Linked DNA regions of Pelodiscus sinensis. The protein of the gene in region 1 interacts with the protein of each later gene in a pairwise test. Links are inferred from orthologs where the notes say so. Each region holds a gene or a part of one and is shown on either strand. Other genes may lie near its edges.

What was found. The genes of interacting proteins can lie anywhere in the genome.
Region 2: the proteins of DMRTB1 (region 1) and IL16 interact in a two-hybrid assay, tested with the Homo sapiens proteins (2 studies listed by BioGRID). The two-hybrid records come from large-scale screens. The link is inferred for Pelodiscus sinensis from reciprocal best matches to the Homo sapiens genes DMRTB1 and IL16.

Annotation. Positions count from the first base shown.
Region 1 is NC_134719.1:10,761,850-10,769,865, forward strand, and holds the start of DMRTB1 (doublesex- and mab-3-related transcription factor B1), read left to right. Parts: upstream 1-4,915; 5' UTR 4,916-5,412; coding exon 5,413-5,836; intron 5,837-7,994; coding exon 7,995-8,016.
Region 2 is NC_134724.1:17,991,891-17,999,144, reverse strand, and holds the start of IL16 (pro-interleukin-16), read right to left. Parts: upstream 3,038-7,254; 5' UTR 2,872-3,037; intron 108-2,871; exon of another isoform or gene 1-107. UniProt on the Homo sapiens protein: Interleukin-16 stimulates a migratory response in CD4+ lymphocytes, monocytes, and eosinophils. Primes CD4+ T-cells for IL-2 and IL-15 responsiveness. Also induces T-lymphocyte expression of interleukin 2 receptor. Ligand for CD4.

The sequences.
Region 1 (8,016 bases):
GCTTGACAAACTATAGAATCTACTCGCCCGTGGTGAGTAGATTTCAGCTGCACGCCCCGTTTACTGGTGGCGTGCGCATGCGCAATGCGGCTCTTGAGAGCAGCTTTCTCCGCTGTTTGTCAAGCCTTATATATATATTACAGGTTAATATGCATATGTACACAACATAGGATGCCAGCACTGAGACAGATGCTATGGAATCTACCAAAAATTGCCATAGTGTAGAATTAATGTTAAGAATAATTACAGAAATATCCTCCGTCTTTCTAAGGCCCTGGTTCAGAAAAGCAGTACTTCAGCACAGCATTTGTGCATGTGCTTAAGTTCTACCTAAGTCAAATTAACCATATGCTTCAGCCATATGTTCCTCAACTGGGACCTAACGGTAAATTTTCCAAAAATGCATAAGGATATATCTACCCTGCTATATAAGCCCAGGGTTTGAACTTGGGTTCAAGCCTAACCCCTTTTCTGTCTTAACACTAATCATGACAACCCAAGACTTGGACTCAGGGTCACAGGACCTCTCAGGTGTGGAGGGTCTAAGCCTGAGTCAAGCTAGTTCAAGCCCTATTGCTTTGCAATATTGATGTTGCTTTCAATCTATCCTGAAAATAATTATCTGCACAATTATCTGAATTTGTGCTTTTGGGCTATGTCTACACTGAAAGGTTTTTGCGCAAAAGAGCTGGTTTTGGCGCAAAAACCGGTGGAGCATCCACACCTCAAGTGTATTTTTACACAAGTAAATCAGCAGAACAGAGGGCTTTTGCTGGTAGAATTATTCCTCTCCCCACGAGAAATAACTCCTTTTTGCGCTACAGCTCTTGCGCAAAAAGGCAGGTGTGGACACTTCAGAGGGGTTTTTGCACAAGAAACTCCTATTGGCAAAAGCACAAGTGCTCTGATGGCCATTCTGTGACCATGCAGTGTAGACACTCCTACACAAACGCACATCGCTTTTGCAATGCGCTTTGAGATCTGGACACGCTTTTGCGCAAGAAGGTTTTGCGGAAGCTCTCTTCCACAAAAGGCTTCTTGCGCAGAACCCTGCAGTGTAGGCAAAGCCTTGGAGTCCACCAACAGACCTACACGCCAACTTTCTTTATGCTTTGGACTATCACATTTCCCCTCATAGACCATGAACAAAGGGCTAGAGTGGTCACAATTTGGAGAGGTGCTAGGAAGTACGGCATACGGATAGTTGGACTTGGGCCCTCATAATCAGTGTAGGTGCTGCAGCCCCAGGTTGGATCCGAGGGCTCAGGAATCCCTAACTTGGGGTTACAAATGAATGTAGACACTCAAGCCCTTGTTTAACAAATCCAGGGTCTGCTAACTCAAGTTCTATTAACCTAGGGCTTATTGCTGCAATGTAGATGTACCCTCAGTGACTCTGGATATTCCTGTACTGCAGTAGGACACCTGAGGTCTGTATCAGCTGACATCCATTTGTGGGGTTTGGGTTTCAGGGCTATACAGTTGGGCTACGTCTACACTGGCCCCTTCTCCGGAAGAGGCATGCTAATTTCTAACTTTGGAATAGGGAAATCCGCGGGGGATTTAAATATCCCCCGCGGGATTTAAATAAACATGTCCGCTGCTTTTTTTCCGGCTTGGGGAAAAGCTGGAAAAGAGCGTCCAGACTGGCGCAATCCTCCGGAATAAAGCCCTTTGCCGGAGGATCTCTTATTCCTACTTGAAAGTATAAAGCCTACTTGAAAGTAGGAATAAGAGATCCTCCGGAAAAGGGCTTTATTCCGGAGGATCGCACCAGTCTGGACGCTCTTTTCCGGCTTTTCCCCAAGCCGGAAAAAAAGCGGTGGACATGTTTATTTAAATCCCGCGGGGGATATTTAAATCCCCCACGGATTTCCCTATTCCAAAGTTAGAAATTAGCATGCCTCTTCCGAAGAAGGGGCCAGTGTAGACACAGCCTTGCAATGTAGACATCTGATCTCTGGTAGGAGCCTGGCTCTGAGCCCCTTTCATCTCGTGCGGTCCCAGACCCTAAGCTCCAGCCCAAGCCCGAATATCTACTCTGCAGTCTACTTTCATAACTCCAAAAGCTGATGAGCCACAGTCAACTGATGTGGGCAAGATGTGGGTGTTTTATTTGCAGAGTACCAAACAGCTTTGCCTCACTCCTTGTCTGAGGACCTGGCCCTGCCTTCCCCTTCTCTGAGGCTCTGCCCCCTGCTCACTCCCGTCTACTCTCCCTCCCTCTCTCCCACCCTCACTCACTTTCACCAGGACAGGACAGGAGGTTGGGGTGCAAAAAGGGCGTGTGCATGCTCTGGGGTGAGGCAAGAAATGAAGATTTTGAGCTGGACTGCAGTGTGGTGCTGAGAGGTTCAGAGTGTGGGAGCGTGCTCCGTGCAGGAGGGGCCGCAGGCTCTGGTAGGGAGTTTGGGTGCGTGAGGGGGTTCAGGGCTGGGACAGGAGTCTGGGACATGGGAGAGGGTTCAGAGAGAAGGCTCAGGTCGGTGTTCATCTCAGGTGGCTCCTGGAATTGGTGTCATCTCTCTCAGGCTCCTAGGAGGAAGTGTGGCCAGGTGGCTCATACACTGCCTCTGCCTGCAGGTGCTGCCGTCTCAGCTTCTATTGGCCATGGTTCCCAACCAGTGGGAGCTACAGAGCTGATGCACGGGATGGAGGGAGCCCCCTATGTCTTCCCTCTGCCTAGGAGCCAGAGGGAGATGCCGGCACTTCTCAGGAGCTATGAGGAGTTGGGCAGGCATGCTACCTGCCTTGCTGCAGGTGGCCAACCATACTTTAAATGGCCTGGTCAGCGGTGCCACGAGGGTCCCTTTTCAAGCTGGTGTTCCAATCAAAAACCGGACACCCCGGCAACCCTCTGTTTGATTGCAGTGTAGGCATACTCTTTGAGGACAGATTTTCAAAGCTAGATGGGCATCTATTGGTTCAGATCAGCACTTTGGAAAATCCCACTAGACCCTAAGCAAGTTAGACACCAAACTTGCATAAATGTCAAGAGGACTTGAGCACTCTTGAAAATTTTCCCTATGCTAAGTCAGAAGCCCCACTCGGGCTCAACAGGGCTCACACTTGAAAATCACTTAGGAGCTTTTGAACATGCCATCCTCAGTATCTGGCAGGAGACTAGTTTAAAAGTCAACAGTTTTTGTTACAATTTCCACCCATAGGAGGTGGAAGGTGCAAGGCAGTGCTGCAAGGAAGGATCTATGTAACCTTGAACTGCACTGTGAAACATATTCTGTTGCAACTGTCAGAAAGCAGCAGTAATACCTCCTTCATCCTGCGAATTCCTCCTGAAGCTGATGAGTAAATGAAGGACTGAGGCCACAGAGGCTACATCTAGACTGCAAGCCTTTTTCAAAAGATACTTTTGAAAAAGCCTCTTTCAAAAAAGAGTGGCTAGACTACACCCAGTACTTTTGAAAAAGCAAGCTTTTTCAAAAGAGAGCACCCATGCAGTCTGGATGCTCTCTTTCAAAAAAGCACAGTTTGCATTACATAGCATCTTTTTTTCAAAGGAGCACTTTAAAAAAAAAGGCATTATGCCTCGTGAAACAAGGTTTTCCGTGATCTAAAAAACTGCTGCATTCTTTCAATTTACTTTCGCAAGAACATGGCAGCAGTCTAGACTCAGGGTACGTTTTTTTCAAAAAAAGGCCATTTTTTCTGAAAAAAACTCTGTAGTCTGGACACACCCTGATTGATCACACGGTCACAAACTTAACTCCTTTCATGTGAGAAAGACCTGCTGTATGCTTCCTTCCACTGTTCAGGTTTGCCCTGAAAAGGGGCTATTGTATAAGAGTTATAGTTTTGTAAGTACTAGCCTAGTGGAATAAAAACACAGGTAGTTTTACAAGCAATAATGAAACAGGAGCATTATTACATTTTTAATTTTAAACCCATGTATGCAGGACTGGCCTTACCATGAGGCAAACTGAGGTGGCCGCTTCAGGTGCCAGATTGTGGGGGGCGGGGGGCTCCACTAGGACACAGAGTGTAGAAAATTGTGTCTGCTGCTGGTGCATATGTATTCCATCTGCAGTACCATGAGAGGAGTAGAAGAGGAACAAGGCAGAATTGAGACCTTTCAAAGTTTTGGCCAAAGCGAGGAGACATGGGGGTGTCATTTGAGCTCCCCGCCTCAGGTGCCAAAATGTTGTGGGCCGGCCCTGCATGTATGTTTACAGTTAGTAAAGATGTGGCAAAGGGAGATATATGATTGGAGGAACTCAGGGTATGTCTACACTACCACCCTAGTTCGAACTGGGGTGGTTAATGTAGTCAATCGAAGTTGCAAATGAAGCCCGGGATTTAAATATCCCGGGCTTCATTTGCATCTTGCCAGGTGCCGCCATTTTTAAATCCCCAGTAGTTCGGACTCCGTGCCCGCGGCTACACACGGCACGGAGTAGGTAGTTCGAATTAGGCTTTCGAACGAGGTGTAATGGTAGTTCGAATTAGAAAGCCTAATTCAAACTACCTACTCCATGCCGCGTGTAGCCGCGGGCACAGAGTCCGAACTACCAGGGATTTAAAAATGGCGGCGCCCAGCAAGATGCAAATGAAGCCCGGGATATTTAAATCCCGGGCTTCATTTGCAACTTTGATTGACTACATTAACCACCCTAGTTCGAACTAGGGTGGTAGTGCAGACATACCCTCAGTGTGCTTTTTGCCCTCGTGGTACACTGGATGAGATGAACATTGTAAAAAACCAGAATGGTGATCAGAAGTTTTTCTACTGAAGGAGTGAGGCTCTCCCCACGTGTTCAAGAAAAATACATGTTAGTTTGAAAAAAAAAATGAAACGGAAATAATTCCAGTATAAGATGCATGCAAGATATGATGGTAACTGTGGTACCAAAAAGGGAAGATTTTAATGAAAGGCAGAAAGGAGCCAGGTTGCCCAGCCTCCAGCATTAATTCGTGAGCACTCCAGAACAAAGACTGATTTTTAATTAAAGACTGTGTCATGTGATGTCATGTCCAGGAATATGTCCTACCAAAACTGACAACCCTAAAAGGGTCCCAAGCAGATTCCGCTTCTAGAGGGCGTAAAATATCCTTTTGCAATCACTGCCTTTGCCTATGTAAATCAGGTGTGTTACTCTGTAACTTACACATGAAAGCCCCAGGGATGTGCCCACAAATGGTTGCTTGTGCAGAATCAGAGGGCATGTTTTTGCAAACTTGGCCCTCTATGTCTTCTTTACAAAGCTACTTTGCTGCAGTGTGCCAGGGAGCATAGCTCATCCTCTCCTCTTGCAAAAGGCTGAGCAGGCTTAGTTGCTACATTGTCGCCAGTGGTGGTGGGCACACCCCGGCTTTGCCCCGCCCTGCTTCTAAGCTGAGCTTCTTCAAATTCTGGGTACACAGGGTGCTTTACGTGTGTGCCTGGCTGGGAGTGCCATGGAAGCGGAGGCAGCAGGGATGGCTGAGAAGACTACTCTGCGCACCCCCAAGTGCTCCCGCTGCCGGAACCATGGCTTTGTGGTGCCGGTGAAGGGCCACACAGGCCACTGCCGCTGGAAGCTCTGCCCCTGCGACAAGTGTGCACTCATTACAGAGCGCCAGAAGATCATGGCAGCTCAGAAGGCAATGCAGGGGCAGGACCCAGATGCCTCACCCAGGGAGAAGTCACCACCTGTGCCCTGCACCCCGGTTCATGGTAAAGGTCGGAAGGTTCCTGCAGCTGGCCCCAGCGCCTCGGACCACAGCAGCCCCGGGGGCAGGTGTGAAGGAGCCAAAACCACCCCGGCAGCCAGCAGCAGCAGCAGAGCCAGGACCCGCAGGCCAGTACCCGCTTCCAGCTCCCCACCCTTTGGGGACTTTGGTAGGGACCAGCTCAGCATTGGGGTGCCTGGCCTATAGGCCTTCACTCAAGATGATTAACTTCTATCTCTGTGTCTCTCTGTCCATCTGTGTTCATCATTCAGTGTCTGTCCATCTATTAGTGGGTATTGTTTGGTTGGTGTTTGTTCATTCATCTTCCAGGCCGATCTAGTGCCTCAGAAACTGCTAGGTCCCAGGTAAACTGTTTCCCAGAATTGCTGGAGTTGCTCTCACTCCACTTTCCCATCCTGTTTCCAGGTGGGTGTGTGTGGAATGCAATGCTGCATTTATTTTTGGTTTTGCAAAGTTTCCAAGTTGTGCCTATGGACTTTGTAGCTACAGGAACTGCCCTCAGCACCTTCTCAGCTTGTTTCCTTGTTGCAAAGATGGATTCATGCAACTAGTCCTTGTTTAACAGGGAAATGAATCAGTGACAGGAATAGAATCTTGATATTTCAATACAATACCTTGAGCTCTTTCTTCTGAGCTGTGCTATTATTTTTAAATTTACAGACATGCCCTCATGCAAAAACAAAGGAAAAAACCCCACAGAACAACAGAAAATGCAGATTAATAGGGGGATTTCTGCTGGAGTCGTCTAGAGAAGGCATTTTATAGTGGCAACATAAAAAAAGAGGACACCTCCTGGATTGGAATTTGATGTTTCACAGACTAGATTTGTCGAGAACCAGTTGGTGTAAAATTTTGTGTATTTAAGAATGGAAAATAGAATGTAGAAATGGAAAATGCATATGGTTATTTAGGCCATTACTTCTGATAGTGTTCTCTACCGTAGAGTCTTGGGTGTGCCTTGTCTAATCCATTTTTATTATTTATAGACTCCCACTGACCACAGTAGCCATTATATTTGGCCTCAGGAGAACCAGCACTCTAGCTCAGTGTTTCTCAACCAGTGGTATAAGTACCCTTACGGATACTCGAGAGAAGTCTGGGGGTTCGTCAACACAACTGAAATTTGGAGAAAATTCTTGTTTTAAGTTTTACAGCACTTTATTATTTTTGTACTTTTTACACCCAAAAATTTCATCACCCGCCCGACTACGATTAAGTTGTTTAAACAAATGTGTTGCAATGGTAGAAAAAAAAATGTGTGTGTCTGAAAACAGTAGGTACTGGGGGTACTTATAATTTTTTTTTTAAAGGGGGTACTTTATAAAAAAAAAGTTTGAGAAACACTGCTCTAGAACATACAGGCCAGATGATCTGAGAGATGGAGAGGAAGGAGTCACTTTAGATAGCTCCAGCACAGCCTCGTCTACCAACAGTTATTTAATTTTTATGCTTATGGGCCTGACAGCGGAAGTGTTTTTAGGAGTGATTTGAATGGATGAGACCTTGATACAGATATAGTCTAGTCATACATGGTGGGAACTACACTACTTTGGAAGATCACTTTGTGAACACGATTCTTTTTTAATAGCAAAATACAGTGGTTCTTTGAAAATGAACTGTAAAAATGAGAGAGACCAGGTGGTTGAGGTCAATATCTTTTATTGGACTAACTTCTGTTGATGGAGCTTTGTGTATCACAGCTCTACAGGTGACCGGAGGAAGAACTCTGTGAAGCTCAAAACTTGTCCCTTCTACCAACAGAAGTTGTTCAATAAAAGATACTTCCTCACCTGCCTTGTCTCTCTTATTTTGGGACCAACACAACAAAAATACTGCAAACAACTCTAGAAATGCCAGCTGTCACAGGGTACAGAGCTTTTTATGTCCTCTCAGTGATTTCAGTATTAAATTTCACTTCATCTGTAAGTCAAGCTGCTACCACAGGAAACTAGAAATCAAGCCGTTTGTCATACTTTTGATTGCAACAGAAGCATTAAAGATCCTGCAATCAGAAGTTTTTTGTGCATCCTGAACCAAGTTGTCAGCATAAATTTGAATCATATTTGCTCTCCCAAAATTGTATTAACCCATCTTTACAGCACCCTCCTTTCCTCCTCAATCCTAATGTTTCAATTAAAAAATAATTGAATAAGAACTGAATATAAACCCAAAGGGCCAGATTCTGCCTTAATTTACACAACTGAGGACAGAATATGGAACCATGACTCTTTCTATTAACCTTCAAGCTGGTTGCAATGATATTTTTGCTTGTTTGTTTTTATTTTTCTTTACCCACTGTTTCCTAGCCCATTCTGCTTTGCCTCAAGA
Region 2 (7,254 bases), on another chromosome or scaffold:
ATTCCACTTGAGTGAGGGTTCTGGAATCCGTCCTGCTTCAGAGCTCACTGATATCAGGGGAAGATTTCCATTAGCTTCAAGGAGCTTTGGGTCAGACCTAACTACAGGTACTATATTCTACTGTATTTTGATTGGAGGATTTTTTTTAATTAGCATTGTTGATTATTTCCTCCCTTTGGTGAGGAATTATGCAATCCCCTGTCCCTTAAGTGTCTGTGATTAGGTAAGATGAATTTGCTGCATCTGGGGGAGCAGTTGTTATTTCAGCTGCAAGGATTTAGTAGCAGCCACGTTCTGAGTCTGACATTCTGTGCACTTGGCAAAGGTAAAATTATTTAACTCAGCTGCTCTTTCTGTACCTCTTCACATTTACATTTCTTTCCTTGCTCTCTAATACCATGACAGCCATAAAGCGACTCAGAGTGTGTGATTTTTATTTGTGGTGTCGAAGACTTCAGTGGCTGATGTTCTTACCACCTAACTGATTCAATCTCTAACATCAACAGGTGTCAAATAAGCAACTGCATAATAAGGTGCAGAATGTCATGTTGCAACTGCTGAGTGGTAGTGTTGGCTCTAGAGGATGCATTACAACAGTGCTCCTGAGACTCTATTGGCTTCCTATAGGGATGCAATTGTCCCAGCCTCCAAGTGACTGGCTCTCTCCCTTGCCCCACCATGACATTTTGAGATCAGCTGTGCTAGCAGTACTGAGAGTTAAGTATAGCAAAGGTATTGGCAAGAAGTTCTGAGTTAAGGATTCTTGACTATAGGAATTTTTTCCCCCATTGGTCCCATAGATCCTGGGCATAAATTTTGGGGCACAGAAGAGAGCCCATCACACTGTGCATGGAGAGTGGAAAGTGGTATCATTATGCTTTCTTTACAGAGTGAGGCTACACGGAAAATATTTTATTCTTTTTGTGTTGCTATAGTGACTTCATTTTAAACATTGAAAATGAAATAATACCATGTATTTCTGCTGCATCTTCCATCTGAGGATCTCAGGTTATTTTACCAACAAGATCGGTAGCATAGAGAGTTTAAGGCCAAACTTTAAAAAGTGTCCTCTAAATTGGGATGCCTATTTTTTGGGCGTTTACTTTGAGATGGCTTGGGTCTGAGTTAGGGAGCTCCCCCATCTTCAGAGGAAGTCAAATGGAGTTCTAGATGCTTGGCATCTCTGAAAAAATCATGTTCTGTTAAGCTGGACATTCAAAGCAGAGGCCCATTTTGACAACTTGATACTAAGTGACCACCCAATATTACCATCCATATTCTAAAAATATCTTCTTGTTAGGTGTAAATTCACAGGTCATCACTCCAAAAAATGCAGAGCATCTAATACTATCATGTATGTATGGGCTAGAACAATACAAAATGCTGCAGGGGTAAAAAAGTGGTTCAGATCCCTGGCTAGAGGTGAGGTTAGAGGTGCAAAGTTGGTGTAAAGTAACCCTGGTATGTGAGGTCAGCACTGCACATAAACTAGAGCAGCTGCTCCAACCTGTGTTGGGTGCTAACAGCCCCACAAAGCAAAAGCACCAGCCAGGGATTGGTGCGGATAATTTGTCCCTCCCCCTTTTCCAAAAGCCACCACCCCTTCACTAGCAGCAGGGAGAGGTATCAGAGGAGCCTCTACATTGAGTTTGTATTACCAGAAGTCCTGTATTTTGTTTCTATTACCAGAAGGTTTGCTTTACACTGGAGTGATCATGGCACTGGATATACCAGTTCTACAGCCACACTCCACTGGCAGTATATAGTTAATATACTATTTGGTATGCTTTAAAGTTATGCTGTATAAAGAGGGTACTAATAAGACTCATAATAAATGGAACTATCAAGTGAACTCTGCATTAATAATATTGGCAAGATTCCAGTTCTAGGGATTATACTTATAGCATATGGCTAAACAAATATGCCTTCCATTTGAGGCTGAGTTTCTGGACCAATGTACTGATTTCCTGCCTAAGATAACGTTGCTCTCTGACTCAGGGAGCTGGTGTATTTGCACTCTGCTGGCTTGGAAGTATTCTCTGAAAGTGTGAAAGGTAATCACATTAAAATGTAATTTTAAAAGGGGTTGCACATATGTGCTTGGTTAGATATAATTAGATACTAATTCTGTCCTGTTCTCTAAGAAGCTAAAATGTGCTTGTGTTTTTCAGCACAGTTTCTATAAAGGAAAATAAAATATTTTAAAATGTAGACTAGAGAGCTCAGTTGACATGAAATAAGGCTCGGAAATTACTCAGGAAAAGACACTGAGTCTTAACAAAAGCTTAGCAGAACTGCTCCCAAAAATCTTTCCTCTAAATCCTCCTCAATAAGGTTAATTACTAGTTAGAAGGCTAATTTATAGATTTTCAAATCTGTTTGCATAGTGGATGATGTATTTTGTGTTTAGTTTCTACTGTATTTCTCATAGTGTTATAGGCTTGAAGAGGCCTTTACAGCTAAGGAAAGATTCCTTTGCCAGAAAGTCCCTTCATGCTTGTAACACTTTTAAATGTGCTTTCCTGGGAAAATATTGTCCAACAAAGTAAGAACATCCTATTTCCAGGTACTGACTGGCTAAATATACATGTTCCCCTTTTATCATGAGACTATTTATCAAACAACAACCAAAGATAAGCATCTATTTCATTCCAACTCCCTCTTATCACTGTAAAATGAGATATGCATTACAGAATGGAAAAGCAAAAGCACAGAATTCATATAGGAAGAATTGCCCTGGTTTTACATTTTATCTATTTACTTTTCTCATCTAAATTGTCAAAGAAAAACACTTTGTAAATGAAACATATTTGCATCTTCAGAATGAACATTAGTGAGATCCAAAAAGTTTGGTATAAAGATATTACTTACCATAGTCAAATAACAACTGTATCTTCTTGTTTAGAATCATTGCTGTCACATCTTGGATGTAAAAAATGCAGCTGAGCCACTTCACAGTATGTTAAGTACTTTACAAAATAAAAAATACCCTGTAAGTCCAGGCTGTTTGGTATTTGTCTGTTAACTCCTAAGCATGCAAAGTGACTACTCAATATAACAATTTTTCCTCGGCAGAAAATCCCTTTGCTATTTGCCAGCAAATCTTTAATGCTATAGCCTGGGTATTTCCAAATACCGCCCTACTTGCTAGGCAGATGTGTATAAAGGAGATGTTATTTCACTGAATCAACCACTGAGATCGTAACCCTTTTCCTGTACCACAAACAGAAATGTAAAACCTCAGTCTTTCCTTTGGACTTTTACTGACTTGTCTCTGTTGTAAGAAAGCAAAGGCAACAACCGCATGGTCTCCTATGTGGAAAATATGTTTAAATGTTTTAGATAGTCTTAGAGCTTCCATTTCTCACTCCAGCCACTCATTAGTTAACTGTCCCTTGCTGTGTTTATGTAAGTGCAGGCTACAAATACAACACCTAGACTCCTTGCCCAAAGTTGAAATGATTAATTTATAACTCTTTTTACAAAGCACACATACAGAGAGAGAAACAGCAAGAGAACACACAGTTCTCTTTTAACTTGAGTGAAAACTCCTTTCATAAGGTCTGAAAGGCCTTCAGGGGGCTGTTCTTTGGGAAATAAAGTCTGTATAGTTGATAGCAGAGTTTGGCTCAAGGGGAGGGGGACATCAACCTAAAGCAAATAAAGGGAGCTGAGACTTCCCTCTGTGTGGAACCGATCATTATAAAGGAGGTGCAAATGCCACTGTTATCGTAGCCTTACTGAGAGGGTGGCTTGATTTGAGAGGATTGCAAATTCCCCTGCTATTTTAATGGTTATGCAGTCAGCTAGTTTTTATTCAGACATGCTTTTGTGTGAGAAAAACTTATCTATCCCCTTCTCCCCCCGAGATAATACTTCGGGCTTTTCATTTTCAGAGCACTTTACAGTTATTAACCAGTCAATCCTCATCATAACTACCAAGGGAAAAGCAAGACAAAGGACCTGTCTGCTCAGACCCCCGAGTAAGGAGAGGTATGTAGGACTGAATTCCTGTATTACTCTCTTCTGGCTCTGAGTAGATGGGCCAGCAAGATATTTCACCCTTCTTGAAGGTGCACCTTACTACCCTCTTGTGCCAACTATGTCTCCCTCTTCCCGCCCAATTGCTTGGGGTAGACTCAGACATAGCGCCTTCCTCTTCTCCTTGTGTTCCAGACACAATCCAGTGAACCATGAAGCAGCTGCATGGAGAGGGCCTTTTCTCAACCCTCCTCCCCGACACAGTCCCATTAAACTAGTCAAAATCTATCCCCGAATGACTTAAGACCACAGACAGCTTGAGTGTGTCTGAACGAGAATTAAGTCATTCCTGGCTCTCAGTCCTATACTCAAACCACTATCCCATATGCTTCTCTATAAGGGGACAATAATGCCATTTCACTGAATAACTTCAATTTTTTTATACATTTTATTGGGCTTAGGATGTATGAGTCATGTGGCAAGGACACAGTCTGTCCCTGATCTGGACAAGCCTAGAACATAGCAAACCTCGGATTAATAAAATTAAGTTCTCTATAGAAACAATTACACATTCTGACTGGCTCCCCTCTGTACAGAAAATGCTAAACATATTGGTAAGTTATATAAAACTGCGTTGATTCATTTTTTCCCCTTCCAGTTTCATTGCCTGGGGAGAAGGGGGACAGAAGGACTTTGTGACATCCTCCACGCATAGCAGGGTTTGGTAATAAAAACAAAAATCCTCAGCAGAAAACAACGCTGTCTCAAACCACACCCACTCCATTGCCGGACAGATGCAGTTCCCGCTTTCCTCACTTAGACTAAACACTGTTCAGTTTACAAATCTGACAGCTATTTATAGCAAGTATATCTACTACAGCAACCAAGGAGGTGGGAGGATATTGCTGGCTAGAAGCCACGGGTCAATTTTTCAACGAGGCATGTGTGGTCATTAACTTAGAAGCTGACTACCTGAATTAATACCTAAAATTAACATAAGGCTCTGTACTAAGACACAAACTGAAGCCTCGGGCTTTTCATTTTTTTCCCATGCAAAATGGTCTTTACTTTCAGGTTTTCTAACTTGTCATTAATAATAGTTATTTATAATAATGATAATTTATATAACTTTTCATCCATAAATCTCAAAGTGTGTCACAAAAACAAGTAAGTATCACTAACCCCATTTTAAAAATTGGTAAATAGAAGTGTCAGGAGGTTATGGGCCATATTTACAAAAGCAGTCTTACTTTTGAATGCCTCAGATTTGGTATCCTTTAAAAACCTGGCCCTTTACAGAAGTTTGTTCATGCGTGTAATAATTTTCATTGCCCTTTCCCAGGCCATTCCTATTTCTGCTGTACAGGCAGTCCCCGGGTTACGTACAAGATAGGGACTGTAGGTTTGTTCTTAAGTTGAATTTGTATGTAAGTCGGAACTGGTACATATTGTAGGGGAAACTCTAGCCAAACATTTCTCCAGAGCTCAGTTTTATTCTCCCACACCTCACTTCCCTCAGTCCTTTATTCTCAAGCTGAGGTGTCTGCTGAGAAAAGCCGCTACGCGTCTCCCTGGTCTGCTGGGAGGGGGGCGCTAGCTTCGCGTCTCCCTGCTCTGCTGGGGGGAAGCAGCTAGTGCGGGGTTGCCTCACCCCGTTTGTAAGTAGGGATCCGATGTAAGTTGGATCCATGTAACCCAGGGACTGCCTGTATATTTTTCATACCTAGATAATGTGACCAGAATTGAACTAACTTTTTTTTAAAAGGAGCAGGTCCTATTGATTTATTTTAATGTGGTCTACTATTTTCAGTATTGTTCTCTATCCAGTTTTTAAAACAGTCTAACATCTGATTTGCTTTTTTTGACCACTGCTGTGCACTGAGCAGAAGTTTCCATTGAGCTGTCCACAGTAATGCCAAAGTCTTTTTCATGAGTGGTTAATTTAGAAACCATCAGTGTATATAAGTAGTTCAAATTGTTCCTCCCAATATGCATTACCTCACGCATACCTATGCTACATTTCAACTGCCATCTTGTTGCTCCGTTCCCCTTTTAAGATTTTCTAGTCTTGCCTTTCCAGAACAATTGTTGATCAGATGTTGCCGTCTCACTATTTCTCCCTCCCTACTTCCTCCGCTTAGGGCTTGTCTCTACGACGTGGTGGATCAACGCTGCAGTGATTAATCCACTGGCCATTGATTTATCACATCTGCTTAGATGCGATAAATCAATCTGTGTTTTCTCCCATTAACTCTGATACTCCATCAGGATGAGTAGAGTAGCCGAAGTCAATGGAAGAGCAACTCCCAATGACCTTATCACACAGAAGATGCTGTGGTAAGTATGTTGACTTCAGCTACACTGTTTGCATAAAGAGTTGCCAGGTGTCCAGTATTGAACCGGACAGCCTAGTATTTGCACCTTCTGTCTGGTAAAAAACTTCAGAAAATACCAGACATGTTTTTCCCAGTTCGGGCATCGGACGGAAGGGTGGTTGAGTCAGCTCAGGCTGGCCAGGGCAGGGGGAGGGTGGAGCAGACTGGAAATTAAAGGGGCTATGACTGTGTTTCAGCCCTGGTCAGTCCCTTTTTTTTTTTGCTCAACACATTTACATAGCCTTTTTTTTTTTTAGCTCAACAGATTTTTTTCCTGGTTTTTTTGGGGTAGAGGGGGTTGGTATTTTTTTAAACCATCTGGCAACCCTATTTGCATAGCTGAAGTCACATAGATTAGATCGACAGCAGGGATTAGTGTAGACAAGACCTTACACCCATGCTTTCCAAAAACTGGTGAGCACAGTAAATATCCCCAATCCCAGTACGGATCCTTGGAGCATCTCTCTGTGAATATCATTCCATTTTATAAATTACTTTACAGCCATACTCTTTGTTTTCTAATTCTTAACCATTTTCTAATCTATAGTAGTAAATTCTCGCATCCAGTAGTTGCATCGTTTCCTAAATTACCCCTTGTGAGAGACTTCATTAAATTATAACTAGAAGAATTAGTAGGTGGAATTCTTTCTCCACTATTCTACTGACTCAGAGAACTCCCAGTAAACAAGAGGGGTGCAACTTTACTTTACATGTGTAAGCGGAGGGATGGTTGTTTATTGTAAACATGAGAATATTGCTTAGAAATAGAGAAGTGTCATTATCACTTTACAAGGCATTAGTTGGACCATGGTGTATCCAGTTCTGATGTCCACACTTTAAAAAGAAAGTTAAGAAATTTGGAAGGGTTCAGAAGAGCACTATCAGAATGATCTGATCT